Sus scrofa: one gene and its partner. Each later gene encodes a partner of the first gene's protein in a complex. Links are inferred from orthologs where the notes say so. Each region holds a gene or a part of one and is shown in the gene's direction. Other genes may lie near its edges.

Region 1 (7,486 bases):
AGGCCAGAGATTGAACCCGAAACCTCATGGTTCCTAGTCGGATTTGTTTCCGCTGCGCCAAGGCAGGAACTCACTCTTTCTTTTTTTTTTTAATGACAGTGAGATTAAGTGGACTGTCTTACAAAATGCCCCATATTCTGCATGTTTTGATTGTTTCTTCCTGGTATCTTTTAATTAATTCCTTATATCTCCTGTATTTTCTGTAACTGAATGTTATTACTACAGGCTTGATTAGATTTAGATTTAACATATTTTTAAGATGCTTTGTAAGTGGCGTTCTGTACTTTATATAAAGCACATCAACTGTAACCCAACTATAATGGAAAAAATAAAAATCATTTTTTAAAAAAAGCACCTACTGTCACTTTGTCCACTATTGATGATGCTCAGTTTGATCAGTTTGTTAAGGTGGTCACAGGAATGTCCTTTCCCATATTCAGTCAGAAGTAATATACAGGATATACAAAAATATCAAATCATTAGGTTGTACACCTGAAACTAATATAATGTTATATGACAGTTGCATCTCGGATTCTTTAAAAAAGTAATCTATGTGGTAATAATTTGGCATTATATAAACATCCACTGTAGATGATCTTTGCCATAATCAGTTACATCATTGGGGGTTGCAAAGTGATACTTTTCCTAATTCTATTACCGTGTCTGCATTTGTTAGCTGGCATTCTTTTTTTTTTTTTTTTGTCTTTTTGCCTTTTCTAGGGCCACTGCCACGGCATATGGAGATTCCCAGGCTAGGGGTCTAATCAGAGCCGTAGCCACCAGCCTATGCCAGAGCCACAGCAACGCCAGGTCCGAGCCGAGTCTGCAACCTATACCACAGCTCATGGCAACACCAGATCCTCAACCCACTGAGCAAGGCCAGGGATCGAACCTGCAACCTCATCGTTCCTAGTTGAATTCGTTAACCACTGAGCCACGACGGGAACTCCTAGCTGGCATTCTACAAAGAATAGTTCTGACATATAAACTGGGATGAAGTGTAATTTTTCCCAGAAAGGATATCAATTGTTAAAAACTTAATTCAACTTTTTTTTTTTTTTAGAGTTGCACTCTCAGCATACAGAAGTTCCCAGGCTAGGGGTTGAATCTGAGCTGCAGCTGCTGGCTTACATCAAACCTGTGTCCTCATGGATGCTAGTCAGATTCGTTTTTCTGAACCATGACGGGAACTCCTAATTCAGCCTTTTCATTTATCAGTTTTCAGAATAAGGATTAACAGTGACCTACACTGGATATTTTAAGTGTTTTTAATGTTTAAGAACTTAGAGTCTTGGGGAGTTCCTGTTGTGGCTCAGTGGGTTTCAAACTAATATCCATGAAGACGCAGATTCAATTCCTGGCCGCGCTCAGTGGGTTAAGGATCGGGCATTGCGTGAGCTGTGGTGTAGGCCAGCAGCTGCAGCTCTGATTCACCCCTTGGCCTGAAAACTTCCATATGCTGCAGGTGTGGCCCTAAAAAGCAAAAAACAAAACCAAAAAAATTTAGAGTCTTAGAGTTTCCTGGTGGCTCAGCAGGTTAAAGAGTCCGTGTTATCACTGCTATGGCTCTAGTCATTGCTGTGATGTAGGTTTGATCTCTGCCCCAAGAACGTCTGTGTGCCATGGGCACCGCTAAAAAAAAAAAAAAAAGAATTTAGAGTCTTATGATTCCAAATTAAAGTTTGTAATTGTTTGGATAATTGATTAATATTTGTGAATATAAGTTGAAGCCTTACTGTATTATTGCACAGACAGTAAAGAGTACCCAAGAGTCACTATTTTTGTAAGCTTAGTTTTTTAGATTTATAAGTAACTTGAGTTCTCAGAAAATTTTGTCTTTTTTAAGTCAAATTACTTAAATTGGGACATTAAATTATTTAAAGTAGTTAAAATTTTATGTTTGAAGGTATTTATCTTTGTAAATGAAATCAGACGTTCATCACAGCCCTTTCAAATTTAAAACTCAAAGTAGAATAAGATGTCTAAGTTGAATGTGAAAGTTTAGGCTTTTTGGAGTTCCCCTTGTGGAGCAATGGAAACGAACCCGACTAGTATCCATGAGGATGCAGGTTCAATCCCTGGCCTTGCTCAGTGGGTTAAGGATCTGGTGTTGCCATGAGTTGTGGTGTAGGCCTGCAGTTGTAGCTCCGATTCGACCCCTATCCTAGGAACGTCCTAAAAAGCAAAAAAAAAAAAAAAAAAATTAGACTTTTTGAATTTGTGACATTAAGAAGTCAAATATTAATATTTGAAAACTACAGTAAATCTCTTTTCTGGGACTGAAAACTAGTCTTAGATATGAAAATAAAAATACTCATCAGCGGTGGTATTGTTCTGCTTTGCCTGTCTTCCCGAGGTATGCTGATACTCTTTTTTTGTTTCTTTTTTTGGCCTTCCGAGGCATATGGAGTTACTGGGCCAGGGATCAGGTCTGAGCCTTAGTTGTGACCCAAGCCACAGCTGCAGTAACACTGCATCCTTAACCCACCGTGTTGAGCTGGGAAATCAAACCTGAGTCCCAGTGCTCCAGAGATGCCACCATTCCTGTTGCACCATAGTGGGAACTGCACTATGCTGATATTCTTGATACTTGGTATTCTATTCCTTTATTTCTGCCATGCTGGACAGGGTGCTCAAGTTTGTGGCATCCTGGTCACATGTCAGTTCTTGGAGCTGTGTAGAAATCAGCCATTCTGTCTAGGGCTTTGCTAAGGTAGGTCTACTTGTTCAAATGATAGAAAACACATGCCAGGTATTCGGATCTTAGCCGTATGGTGGCTTTGGTAAATGTGAATGATTTTTCTCTGAAATGGCATCTTCCTTATTTAAAATTTTCCCTCTCAAAGGCATCAGCACTATTTTGTATGTGTAGAGGTATTTCTTTAGGCCTACATTTCTTTTTTCTTTGGAAAAAAATGTGGTGGTTTTTGTTTTGTTTTTGTTTTTTTGAACATCGTTGGAGCTATATTTTGAAAATTGGAGCTTGTATGGAAGCTCCTCCTCCATTAGGTTTGAATTGTTAACCTTCTACATTAGAATGTTTCTGGGTTTTCAGTTAACTGACTTTTTTCAGTTTTGAAAAAGAGATGTGTTTCTTTGCTACTTAGTTTAAACCTAAAGGCAATTGGTTGGTAGAAATGAAGTCTGTTGGCTTAAAAAGCGTCAAGGTTTGTGCATCTAAAAGCTCTGTTCGCCTGGAAAGTCAGCCCTGTTCATTAGGCCAGAGTAGAAGGAAAGTCAAACTTACAGATAATCGGTCATATACTCTTTCAATTGGCAATGGAGACTATTTCTGGACAAGTAAAGACACGTTGTGGAATTATGTGCAGACTCTTTCTGGTAAGAAGTCAGTATTACCAAAAAACCAAATGTTTTAAAGACTAATTGCAAAAAATAATACCAGTTCCTTACAGAAAACCTGTAAAGTGAAGAAAGATAAGGAAAATAAAAATAGTAATACCACTGAAGTGAGTTTTTCCCTCTGAGTTTTATCTTGAAGTGAAAGAATGTAGGTAGAATAATAATTTTTATTATTAACATGTAATAGGCTATTTATTGAGCTTGGCTATCTAAAATGTCTAGGAGTGGGGAGTTCCTGTCGAGGCTCAGCAGAAACGAATCTGACTAGGAACCATGAAGTTGCAGGTTTGATTCCTGGCCTCACTCAGTGGGTTAAGGATCCAGCATTGCCATGAGCTGTAGTGTAGATCACAGACATGCCTTAAATCTGGCATGGCTTGGCGTAAGACAGCAGCTGCAGCTCTGATTCCACCCCTAGCCTGGAAATTTCCATATGCCACGGGTACAGCCCTAAAAAGACCAAAAAAAAAAAAAAAAAAAGTCGAGGAGTTCTCTTGTGGCTCTAAGGGCTAAGGATATGGCATTGTCACTGCAGCAGCCCAGGACACTGCTGTGGCAAGGCTTTGATCCCTGGCCCCAGGGAACTTCCATATGCTGAAGGCACAGCCAAAATAAAAATAAAAATAAAAATAAAATAAAATGTCTGTAGAAATGGGAATTTCAGGGTCTCTTGTTGTTAAAGTTGGTGTCTCTCTTTACTTGGAAGACTTTAGGAAACTTTTATAGTTCTAGAGGATGATAGCAGTAGCCACATGAGCCAGTCTGCTTTTGGCGGAAAGTAGAAGCTTAAACTCTTCAGTGCCTTGGTGAATTGTTGGGTGTTTCCCTCCTCCCTGTATTTATAAATCGCAATTTATAAATGACATTTGGGCCCAGAAGTCCCATGAAGGAATGTCATCTAATCTAAGAGGAGGGCGTGTTTTATTTTTTTTGTTTTGTTTTGCTTTGTTTTGTTTTTGTCTTCTTAGGGTTGCACCCTTGGTGTATGGAAGTTCCCTGGCTAAGGGTGAAATCAGAGCTGCAGTTGTGCTGGCCTGTGCCACAGCCACACCAACGCAGGATCTGAGCTGCATCTGTCACCTACACCAAAGCTCACAGCAATGCCAGATCCTTAACCCATTGAGTGAGGCCAGTGTTTGAACCTGTGTCCTCATGGATACTAGTTGGGTTCCTTACTGCTGAGCCCTGATGGGAACTGCCAAGGAGGGTGTGTTTTAGAAGAAGCTATGGAGGTAACTTGATGGCAAACTAAAATTTTTGGCATTTGGTTTAAATTTAGTATCTTTATGTAGATGGATTTTTTAAACACTTTAGGCACCCTAAAAATTTTATAAAGTATTTATGTTCATTGTTAAAATGGTCTCATGAATATACACAGAGTTGAGGGTTCTGTCTCATTCTAAACTCTCATTTTACTTTCTGGAGTCCTGAAATCCTGTGTCCCCATTTTTACACATTTTAAAGAAATTGGCCCTCACTCTGAACAATATTGTGTTATTTTGTAAAACAGATGCATTGTGTAAACAGTTGAGTTAACAAATAACTCTATTATTGGCTTTCTAAAGAAAAAGTTGTTTGAGTGTCCTCTTAAACCAGTGAGCTGTCCCCATTGAACAATTAGTTTTTCCTCCTCCCAGTTACTTATCTGTATGCAAAAGTAGATATGAAATACTAATTTATCTAACTTTAATTATCAGAAATAATTATTCTGATAAGCCCAAATACCAGAATGCCTTTTTTATTTTTTTATTTTTTTTTTTTTGTCTTTTGTCTTTTTGTCTTTTGTTGTTGTTGTTGTTATTGTTGCTATTTCTTGGGCTGCTCCTGCAGCATATGGAGGTTCCCAGGCTAGGGGTCGAATCGGAGCTGTAGCTGCCAGCCTACGCCAGAGCCACAGCAACGCGGGATCCGAGCCGTGTCTGCAACCTACACCACAGCTCACGGCAACGCCGGATCGTTAACCCACTGAGCAAGGGCAGGGACCGAACCCGCAACCTCATGGTTCCTAGTCGGATTCGTTAACCACTGCGCCACGACAGGAACTCCAGAATGCCTTTTTTATAGGTCAAATCTAAGTCTTAAATAAATTCACTTAAGTACAAGTTATATTATCATATCTAATAATAGGAGTTTCTTGGCGATCTAAGGAGCTGTTCATATTAAATCTAATTTCATTGTTAATTTGTGTGTTTAAGGTGCATAAATAAGTCTTGGGGTTGTTTTTTTTTTTTAACTTTTTTTTTTTGGCCATACCCTTGGCATATGGAAGTTCCTGGACCAGGGATTGTACCCAAACCACAGCAGTGACCTTATTTAGCATCAGTAAGCAGAGCTAGGTGGCCAAGGGGAGACCAGACTGAAGCCAAGACTTTTTATTGTACTATGTTGCCATCTTGAGGGAGGGAAATTGGAAGTCTTTACTGATTGATGACATGTGCCAAGCCAGGGCTTCCGAAAGTTAGCTCTGCTGAGGACTAGTTCTTTGAAATGCTCCTGGAAGACAGGTTTCTAGGCAGTTATCAAGAAATACCCACATTAGGAGTTCCCATTGTGGTGCATCAGAATGAATCCAGCTGGTATCCATGAAGATGTGGGTTCAGTCCCTGGCCTCGCTTAGTGGGTCAGGGATCCAGTGTTGCTGTGAGCTGTGGTGCAGGTCACAGATGCAGCTCAGATCCTGGCTGCGACTGTTGGCTGTAGCTCCAATTTGACCCCTAGCCTGGGAACTTCCACATACCACAGGTGCAACCCTGAAAAGCAAAAAGAAAAAGAAATACCCACATTATTGAGTGTACGTGTAATTAAATGAATGCTCACACACTCAGAAATACCTCTTCATACTCCACCTGATGCATACTGCAGTCACTAGACTTCTTAAGGCAACCCCCATCTGACTTCCAAAACGTTTTATTAGTTTTAGGCAGACATTTAAAAAGTAAAACTTTTAAGCAGTAACCCATATTCATTATAAAAATTTAAACAATTGTTGTCAAATACAAGTTCATGTGCCCAGTGCACAGTGAGGCCAGACAAACTGAAACCTGGGAGTTTGGAGCAGAGAAAGGTTTATTGCAGGGCCAAGCAAGAAGAATAGGTGGCTTGTGCTCAGAAAACTTGAGCTCCTCAATGGTTTTTGGAAAAAAAGTTTTTATAGGCAAAAGTTGGGAGGAGGGCTCAGGGTGTGTACCTTTCTCCTGATTGGTTGATGGGGTGGCAGGGGGCTGTCCAAAAATCTTACGGTTCAGCCCAAAGTTACCTTCCTCCACTCTGGCCGGTAGCCTTAATTCTGTTGAAGAATTCAGAGCTATATTATTGTTACCTATATTCCCTGAGGAGAAACCTATACCCTGCACTGTTGTCTATTGACTGCTCCTCCTTTGTTTCTGCATTCCCTCCCTAACTTAATTAATGTTTGAGGAGTTCCCTTTGTGGTGCATCAGAACGAATCTGAGTAGTACCTGTGAGGATGCAGGTTCAATCCCTGGGTGTTGGGAATCCAACTTTGCCATGAGTTGTGGTGTAGGCTGCAGATGCAGCTTGGATACCCTGGGGTCACTGTGGCTGTGGTGCTGGGTGACAGCAAATTTGAATCTGTCCTTCGGCTCTCAGTGAAGACCCTTTTTTTTTTTTTTAAATGATTTTTTATTTCTTCCATTATAGCTGGTTTACAGTGTAGTGTCAATTTTCCACAATATCAGGGAAGATCTTGGAGGCTTTTTTTCCTGCAAACTAGAAACCATGTGTGTCTGTCTGTCTGTCTGTCTGTCTGTCTCTGGAGTGGTGTTGTAGCTCAGTAAGGCTTTTATATCCAGAACAGGTCCTGGTTGGTTTTACACTTAAGGAATGTGAAGGAAAGTGAAATCTCTCCCTCTTCCATCCCACTCCCTGGAGGTAACCCCTAAGAGTTTGACATCCTTCCAAATTTTATTCTGTACATATTCAGAAATACATGTTTATATATCTTTTTGTTTGTTTGTTTTTTCTAGGGCCCTACCCGCCGCATACGGAGGTTTCCAGGCTAGGGGTCTAATCGGAGCTGTAGCAGGCGACCTACATACACCACAGTTCACGGCAATGCCAGATCTTTCACCCACTGAGCAAGGCTGGGGATTGAACCTGTGTCCTC
Region 2 (7,515 bases), on another chromosome or scaffold:
ATAGAATTTAAGAGAGTTAGGACCTTGCTCTGGATTCGACTTTGGCTTCAAAGTTGTGGCTTGTTTGATCTTCTATCCAGACCATTAGAACATTCTCCATATCAGCATAAAGCTGTTTCACTCTCTCATCATTCATGTGTTCGCTGAAATAGCACTTTTAGTTTCCTTCAAGAACTTTTCCTTTGCATTCACAACTTGGCTAAATTTTTGGTTCAAGAGGCCTGGCTTTTAGCTTATCTCAGCTTTTGACATCCCTTTCTCACTAAGCATAATCATCTCTAGCTTTTGATTTAAAGGGAGAGACATGTGACACTTCCCTTCACCTGAACTCTTAGGGGCCAATGCAAGATTATTTATTGGCCTAATTTCAATATTGTGTCTTAGGAATTAGGGAGGCCTGAAGAAAAGGAGAAAAAACAAGGGAACAGCTTGTTGGTGAAGCAGTCAGAACATGCAGCATTTACCCATTGTTTGTTATCTTATATGGGCCAATTTATGGTACTTCAAAACAATTACAATAGTACATCAAACATCACTAATTAAAGATCACCCTAATAAATATAATAACAATGAAAAAGTTTGAAATATTGTGAGAATTACCAAATGTGATATAGAGAAATGAAGTGAGCAAATGATGTTGGAGAAAGACACCTATAGACTTGCAGGTTTCCCACAAACTTTCACTTTGTAAATAACGCACTATCTGAGAAGCACAATAAAGTGAACTGCAAATGAGACATGGCTTTGCAGCTGGAGCTGGTAGACTCTAAGCCTAAAGACACAGCCATCTTTTGTGCCTGGTCACATGGCCAGTGAGAAGAGGCCAGAGGGGAATAAAACGGAGCAGAGGATTAGGGAGTGGGATTGGATTGACCCTTGTTGACATCTGAAGATGCCTGAACTTCTCAGTTAAATGATACTGGAATACTAAATGACCCCTTTCTGCATAAAGCCTGTTTGAGTCGGGGTTTTATAACTTGTACTAGGAAGTCTTGCCTAACACGAGGAACACTTTAATCTGGATCAGGAAGGGCATTTGGTGGGGTTCTTTTCAGATATTCAGAAAGAACAGGATGTATCGGGCAGGGCAACCAGTGGTTCCCTCCCTGTGGTAGCTAGTCTACTGAGATGGCCCCAAATAAGTGTGCCCCTCCCTTTATGTTCATGCGGCTCCTGCATTGCTTATGTCCTCTTCTCTTGAATCTGGACTGGGCTTGTGACATTCTTCAAAAGTTCTGGTAGTTTCCACTTACTTGGAACTTGGAGCCCTGGGATGTCATGTGAGATGTCTGGGCTAACCTGCTGGAGAGAGGCCATAAAGAAAAGTGAGAGGATGGGATACTACACAGAGAGGCCTCATTGGGGACACAGAGGTGTCCAACATCTAACCCCTAGCTACCATCTCAGTAGAGGCATGAGAAACCCCAAGTGAGACCCTTAGAACTGTCTAGCAGAGCCCTAGCATCAGGAGATATAATACATTTATGGTTTTATGCAACTAAGTTGTTTGTTATGCAGCTAGCTGGATTTCCTGGCCTCCTTACACATTGTTTCAATTACAAAAAGGAGCTCCTTCTGGGCAGATGAATTACAAAAAGTAAGTCACCTCTTTCTCCAGGCTGTAGTAAAGGTTACCAGGGCACAGCACACACAAGGAGGGCAGAGAATGACAATGGCCCCTTGGTCTGGTGACACTTTGTAAAGCACAGTACTCAGGGCTTGGAAGCTGTGGAGGGATGGATGCCCACAGACAGCAGGTCAGTCTAAACTTGCTCTTTGCAACCCCTTTCCCTTGATGAGCTTTCATGTTGCCCTGCCCTTGTCCAGTGTCCTCTGACACTAGAGGACTGAGATGGCACTGTTGATTTCTTGGCAAATGGCAGGCAATGACCATTCCAAGGCCATGCTGGGGAGAAGCAAGCATAGAACTCAAACAGTTTTTGTCTCTTAATCTTTTCCTTGCCCTTCCAGCTCTTCTCTGCCCCAACAGAAGCCATCCATTTCCCACATCCTCTAGTCCAAGACAGCTGGGGGTGTGTGTGTGTGTCTCATTTTGTTGCTGAAATCCATTTGCCTCTCATTTCTTCGGAGCTGATTTTCCAGGAAGGAGCCAGGGGCTCATCCTAGTTTGCCATGGTGAGTAGACAGCTATTCCTTTCTCCTCACTGCCCTGCCCGTCCACATGCATCTCTAGTAGGTTTTAACAGTCTTGCCCAAGAATTTCCATTGTGGTAACAATCTTGACTAGTATCCATGGGGATGTGGGTTGGATCCCTGGGATCTGACATCGCGGTGAACTGCGGTGTGGGTTGTGGACTTGGCTAGGATCTGGCTTTGATGTGGCTGTGGCTCAGGTGGGTTGACCCCTAGCCTAGGAACTTTCATATGCTGCTGGTGCAGCTGTAAAAAGAAAAGCAAAACAAAACAGTCTTGACCCTAAGCTGTGCGCTTACTCAGAGCAGGCTAGAGCCTGATTTATCGCTTTGCCCTGGCCCCAGCACAGAGCCTGGACCACCAGCCAACTAATGTGCACCATCGATCAGCCCAGTCCTTTATCCTTTCATTTTCAATCACCACCTGATTTCCGAATACAGCTGCAGACTTTACTCCAAGCTAGGATCCCACCACCGGAACTGTCCCTCGATTTACTGGACTGAGTAATCATGAATGGCCTGAAACAGGCCACTAATTAGTTTTCTCTGCATAGCTGAGGGAGGAAGAATCATGCAACAGTTTACCACTGAAGTCTCGAATCAGCTTGTCCTTGTTTTCCATGTGACTGACAGGCGAAACGAAGAGTCGTAGACCAAGAAAAAAGAGGGAAGAGAGGAACAAGAGTGAACAGCTGGAGGGAAAAAAAACAAACAAACAAACAAACAAACAAAAAAAAAACCTAGCTGAAAAACGGAGGAGCCTTAAGAAATCAGGCGCTACCAGGCAGGAAATCCGTAGGAGAGCGGGAAGGGGAGAGGGAGGCCCGCCCCAAAGCGCGCTGGGTCGGCTCACTGCTTCCAGTGGCGGGGGGAGGGGTATGGGGGGCACGAGCGGGCGGGGCCTAGGAAAGCGGCGTGCGGAGAGAGACCTCCCCGGACGCTGAATGGTCGCACCCGGCGGCAGCAGCCAATGGGCGGCCGGGATGTTGGAGCGGCGGCGGCGGTCCGGGCGCTCGCTGGCTGGGGGACGGCGGCCGCCGCCATGATCTTGTTTGCTTTCAATGAAAACTAGGGGGGCGCGGAGGAGGAGGCGGCGGCGTCGGTGGCGGCGACGTCGGCGGCGCGGAGGCGAAGACAGCGGTGGGCGCAGTTAGGCGGGCGAGGCCGGAGGCTGGGAGGCCGGAGGGCGTAGTGGCGACCCGTCAGGGCGGCTGAGGCGGGCGGCTTAAGCGGTGGATTTCAGAGGGGAAACAAAGAGCGGCGACTGAGGCGGCAGAAGAGCGGCGGCGGCGGCGGCGCTGCAGCAGCGGGCGGGACTGGTATGGTGGTTCCACAGGTCAGACCCCGCTGCACTCATAGGGAGGAGGCGGCGGCAGCGGCGGAGGAAGGCGGCGCACCCCAAGAGGTGAGCGAGACGCACCCGAGGCCCGGCCAGGCGCTGCTCCCTGCACACGGATAGCGCACGGGCCCCGCTCGGTAGGACTGGAGCGCGGGGGGCTCGGGCCATAGGAACTTGAGTTTTGCGGGCAACAGGCCTGCAGCTTGGAGGAGCTGGCGGCTGTTGGGGGTCCCTAGACGCGCAGCTGTTGCGATCCCACGCCTCTTCAGGCCGCGCCCCCGCGCAGAGTAGGGGAGTGGGGGCGTTGATTGACGGCGGGGGCGCGCAGGGGGCGCCGAGGTTGGGGGATTCCCTGGGCCTAGACTCTGATTGTGGTCGTTCTAGGAGGAGACTTGGTGTCCAGGACTCTCGGCCAGGATGGGTGGCAACTTTGGAGAAGTGGGCTATGTGGGATTGCGCGGTGGAGTGTGGAACTTCGCAGTTAGGGTAAAGCGGGAAACCAACTGTTTACTCCTCCCCCAAATATATTTAAAACTCAGTTTGAGGAAAAAATTTTGAGGGGTAGGAATGACATGGTTAAAGAAGAACTTAGAACCAGATGAAAAGACATATAATACTGCTGAGGACTCAGAGATGGTTTTAAGTACTTGAAACAGTCTTTTCTGATAACTAGAATCATATCTCTCCTATTTATTTCTAAATCATTATTTTCTTTGGAAACCTTTGGCTCTTTTCCTCCTTCATCTTCCCCAAAGAGCCTGCTGATGAACACTTGTAACTTTTTCTTGAACTGTTACTGCAAATTACAGATTGTGAATGGTCATCTTGCTTGTTCTTTTTGGACTTCTTGTGTTAAGCTGACATTTAGTCTCCTTGAATATGAATTCCCATACTTACCTGTTTTCCACATGGATTGTCCCATTAGTGCTAGTGTGGAATCTTTTTGCCTCTTTGTGCCTGGGGATTTTAATTTTGGAGAGGAAGAGAAAATATGAACAAGTGAAAAATAAAATGACATTTACTAGCACTTTGTTTTATGCTAGAATTTACCATCCCTAAGCAGTTTTGTAGGGTATAGGAGCTATGTCCATTGATCAGAAGGTTTTGAAGACTTATTTTGTAATTGCTCTCAGGGTAATTATGGCAGTCTTTAGAATATGATCACTTTGGAAATAAAAATTGCTTAATATTTTTAGACGAGTGATCTAGTCCAGTAGACTTGATTTAAACAAAATATTTGAATAGCTGATGTTGAGGAAACAGGCCTAGGAAGGTTAAAGTAACTTGCCCAAGATTATGCAGTTAGGGAAAGGACTGGGTTTTGTGTTAGCATGCGTGAACAAGTGCTGTTCTTGCTGGAGGTTAGTTTTAGGAGGGAAGAGGGATTTGTTTTAATGGATGGAAGTTACTTGAACTGGTTGAGTCTGGTCAGTCCTCAGTAGGTGAGCAAGATGCTTAATGAAAAGATGACAAAATGAGGGTATCACAAAGGACAAAAGTCTTTTTCTGAGACTCAGAATGTAATGTACATGAAATGTGGATAAGCTCTTTTGAAAGCCTATTTGATTTTTAGGGTTTTTTTTTTTTTTTTTTTTTTTTTTTCCCCCAGATTTCTTAAATCAGTGGCAAAGTAAAACTTTTCAGACTATTTCCTTTTGAACAGACATGAAATTAGTTATAGAACTTGCTTGGTCCTGGCTACAAATAAAGGCGCTGTAGGAATTTGCTTAATGTACTTGTGGTTTATACCTAATGCATTTTGGTTAATGCTTAGGCATTCCACTGTATTCATATTAGCTTTTTTATAGTCTTTAAAGCACAAATCTCTTTCATACCATAGTATAACAGAAAGGGATCATATATATAAGGCATACTGGAATAAATGGTCAAGGCTGATCACAACATTGTACATCAACTATATTTCAATAAATCTTTTAAAAATGAAAAAATAAATCAATGGTATTATATCATATACCTTAAAATTCCTGTGGAATCACTTAAATATACATGAAATTTCTAATGGTAAGAGTTGTATTTTCATAAACTTCTACTTTAATATATTGTCAGTATAATTGTGACATTTCAATTGTCCAGTGTTAATTTCTTTTTTTTTTTTTTTTTTTTTTTTTTCTCTTTTTTGGCCGCCCCGTGGTCTATAGAGTTCCAGGGCCAGGGCTCAGATCAGAACTGCACCTGCGGTAGCAGGGGATCCTTATTTCATTGTGCTGAGCCTGGAATCGAACCTGCCTCCCAGGTTGCTGCCTCCCAGCATTGCTGCTGATCCCATTGTGCCACAGCAGGAACTCCAACTTCATGTTTGTTTTGATGGCCTATTTTATGTTTCCCTTGGTTATGGATCTCCAATGGTGTAATACCACAGAACAAATGCTGTTGCTCTGGCATCTCTCTTCATTTAGCTTTTGCCACTACTCATTCACTTATATTAACAAGAGATTACTGTGTTGTGTAAAAGGAACTTTATGGGTACAACTAGGTTAGTTAAATGTATAAAACTAATAACAAGTACCAGATTGAAATGTGGGGGAAAAAATGGTCAGGGCTGCTTACCGCTATAGCTTTTGGGCCATACGGGGTGAGAACCCTCTTTAGCACACCTGTAACTTTCCCATATATAAGGTACACTGGTTGGGAAGCCCTGCTTTTAAAGTATTTAACACTTTGGAAAAGTCAAAATAGGTTCAGTTAAGAACATACAGTCTTAATGAAGAAAAGACTTGGATTTCCAGTGTGTACTGTTTATACTTTTGTTGTAATTAGAATGTAGCGTTACTGTCTAGAAAAAAGTTCCAATTTTAATTTTCAAATCCTTAGATTCCACAAAATCTTTTACTTATGTACTTTTTTCTTTCCTTATCTGCTACTCACTTGAGGAAGGTAGCCCTTTCACTAGGTAGTATAAGTAACAAAACACTAAGTGAAAATAAGAAATGCTGAATAAGTTAAACTGTTGGAATTCCCATTGTGGCTCAGCAGCTTAAGAACCCTGCTAGTGTTCGTGGGGATTCGAGTTCGATCCCTGGCCTTGCTCAGTGGGTTAAGGATCCAGCATTGCCAGGAGCTGTGGTGTAGGTTGCAGACAGGCCTCAGATCTGGCCTTGCTGTGACTGTGGTGTAAGCCAGAAGCTCCAGTTCTGATTCAACCCCTAGCCTGGCGGGAACTTCCATATGCCTCAGGTGTGGTTGTATGTAAAAAGACCAAAAAAAAAAAAAAAAAGTTAAACTGTAAACTTACTGTATGCATAGCCTGTGTGCATTAGAGTACAATGGAATGCACCATATTTTGGTATTTGAACAAGTAAATGAAAAGGAGAAGGTAGGAGTTCTTTGGTGGCACAGTGAGTTAAGGATCTGGTGTCACTGCTGTTGCTCTAGTCACTGCCCTGGTGCAGGTTCGATCTCTGGCCCAGGAACTTCCTCATGCCAAGGGTGTGGCCAAAAAAAGAAGGTTATTTGCATGTAAGATGGAGACTAATTTAGGCTGCCTTAATATTACCCTTCTCTGGACTTTACCTCCCCTTCATTTTTTTTGTTTTCTTGGTAACTTAAGTTATGTGCAGAAAATAGTATATGCTGAACATAGTATTGGACCCTGAGAATTAAAAACTGAATAATACTCAGTTCCTGTCTTCTCGTCTGTAGACTTAGTAGGTGTACAGAGTGCTGTAGGAGAAGAAAGAATTACATTTGTAGAAAGTGTGGGAGCAGTTTACAGAAAACAATACAGAATATGTGTTTGTCAGACTGGGCAGATGGGATCATTTCAAACAAAAGGAATCGTAGGTGCACTGAGGTGAGAAGTGTTGTGGTAAGGCCAATGGTGATATGTCACTGAAACAAGGAGAGTGATTGGGGAATGAACCTGCAAAGGTGTGTCCTGCCTAGATTTTGATGGACTATCTTTACCAAGCAAAAAGTTAGGTATATCTTTATCCTATAGCAAAGGATGGAGGCAAAATATTTTTCATAGAGGAGCAAAATGATTTAGAGATCACTTGGATATCA

The links.
Region 2: CNOT10 (region 1) and CNOT6 share a complex: the UniProt entries of both Homo sapiens proteins name them as parts of the CCR4-NOT complex. The link is inferred for Sus scrofa from reciprocal best matches to the Homo sapiens genes CNOT10 and CNOT6.

The regions. Positions count from the first base shown.
Region 1 is NC_010455.5:18,654,940-18,662,425, forward strand, and holds the start of CNOT10 (CCR4-NOT transcription complex subunit 10), read left to right. Parts: upstream 1-3,009; 5' UTR 3,010-3,137; coding exon 3,138-3,339; intron 3,340-7,486. UniProt on the Homo sapiens protein: Component of the CCR4-NOT complex which is one of the major cellular mRNA deadenylases and is linked to various cellular processes including bulk mRNA degradation, miRNA-mediated repression, translational repression during translational initiation and general transcription regulation.
Region 2 is NC_010444.4:78,198,154-78,205,668, reverse strand, and holds the start of CNOT6 (CCR4-NOT transcription complex subunit 6), read left to right. Parts: upstream 1-3,155; 5' UTR 3,156-3,558; intron 3,559-7,515. UniProt on the Homo sapiens protein: Poly(A) nuclease with 3'-5' RNase activity.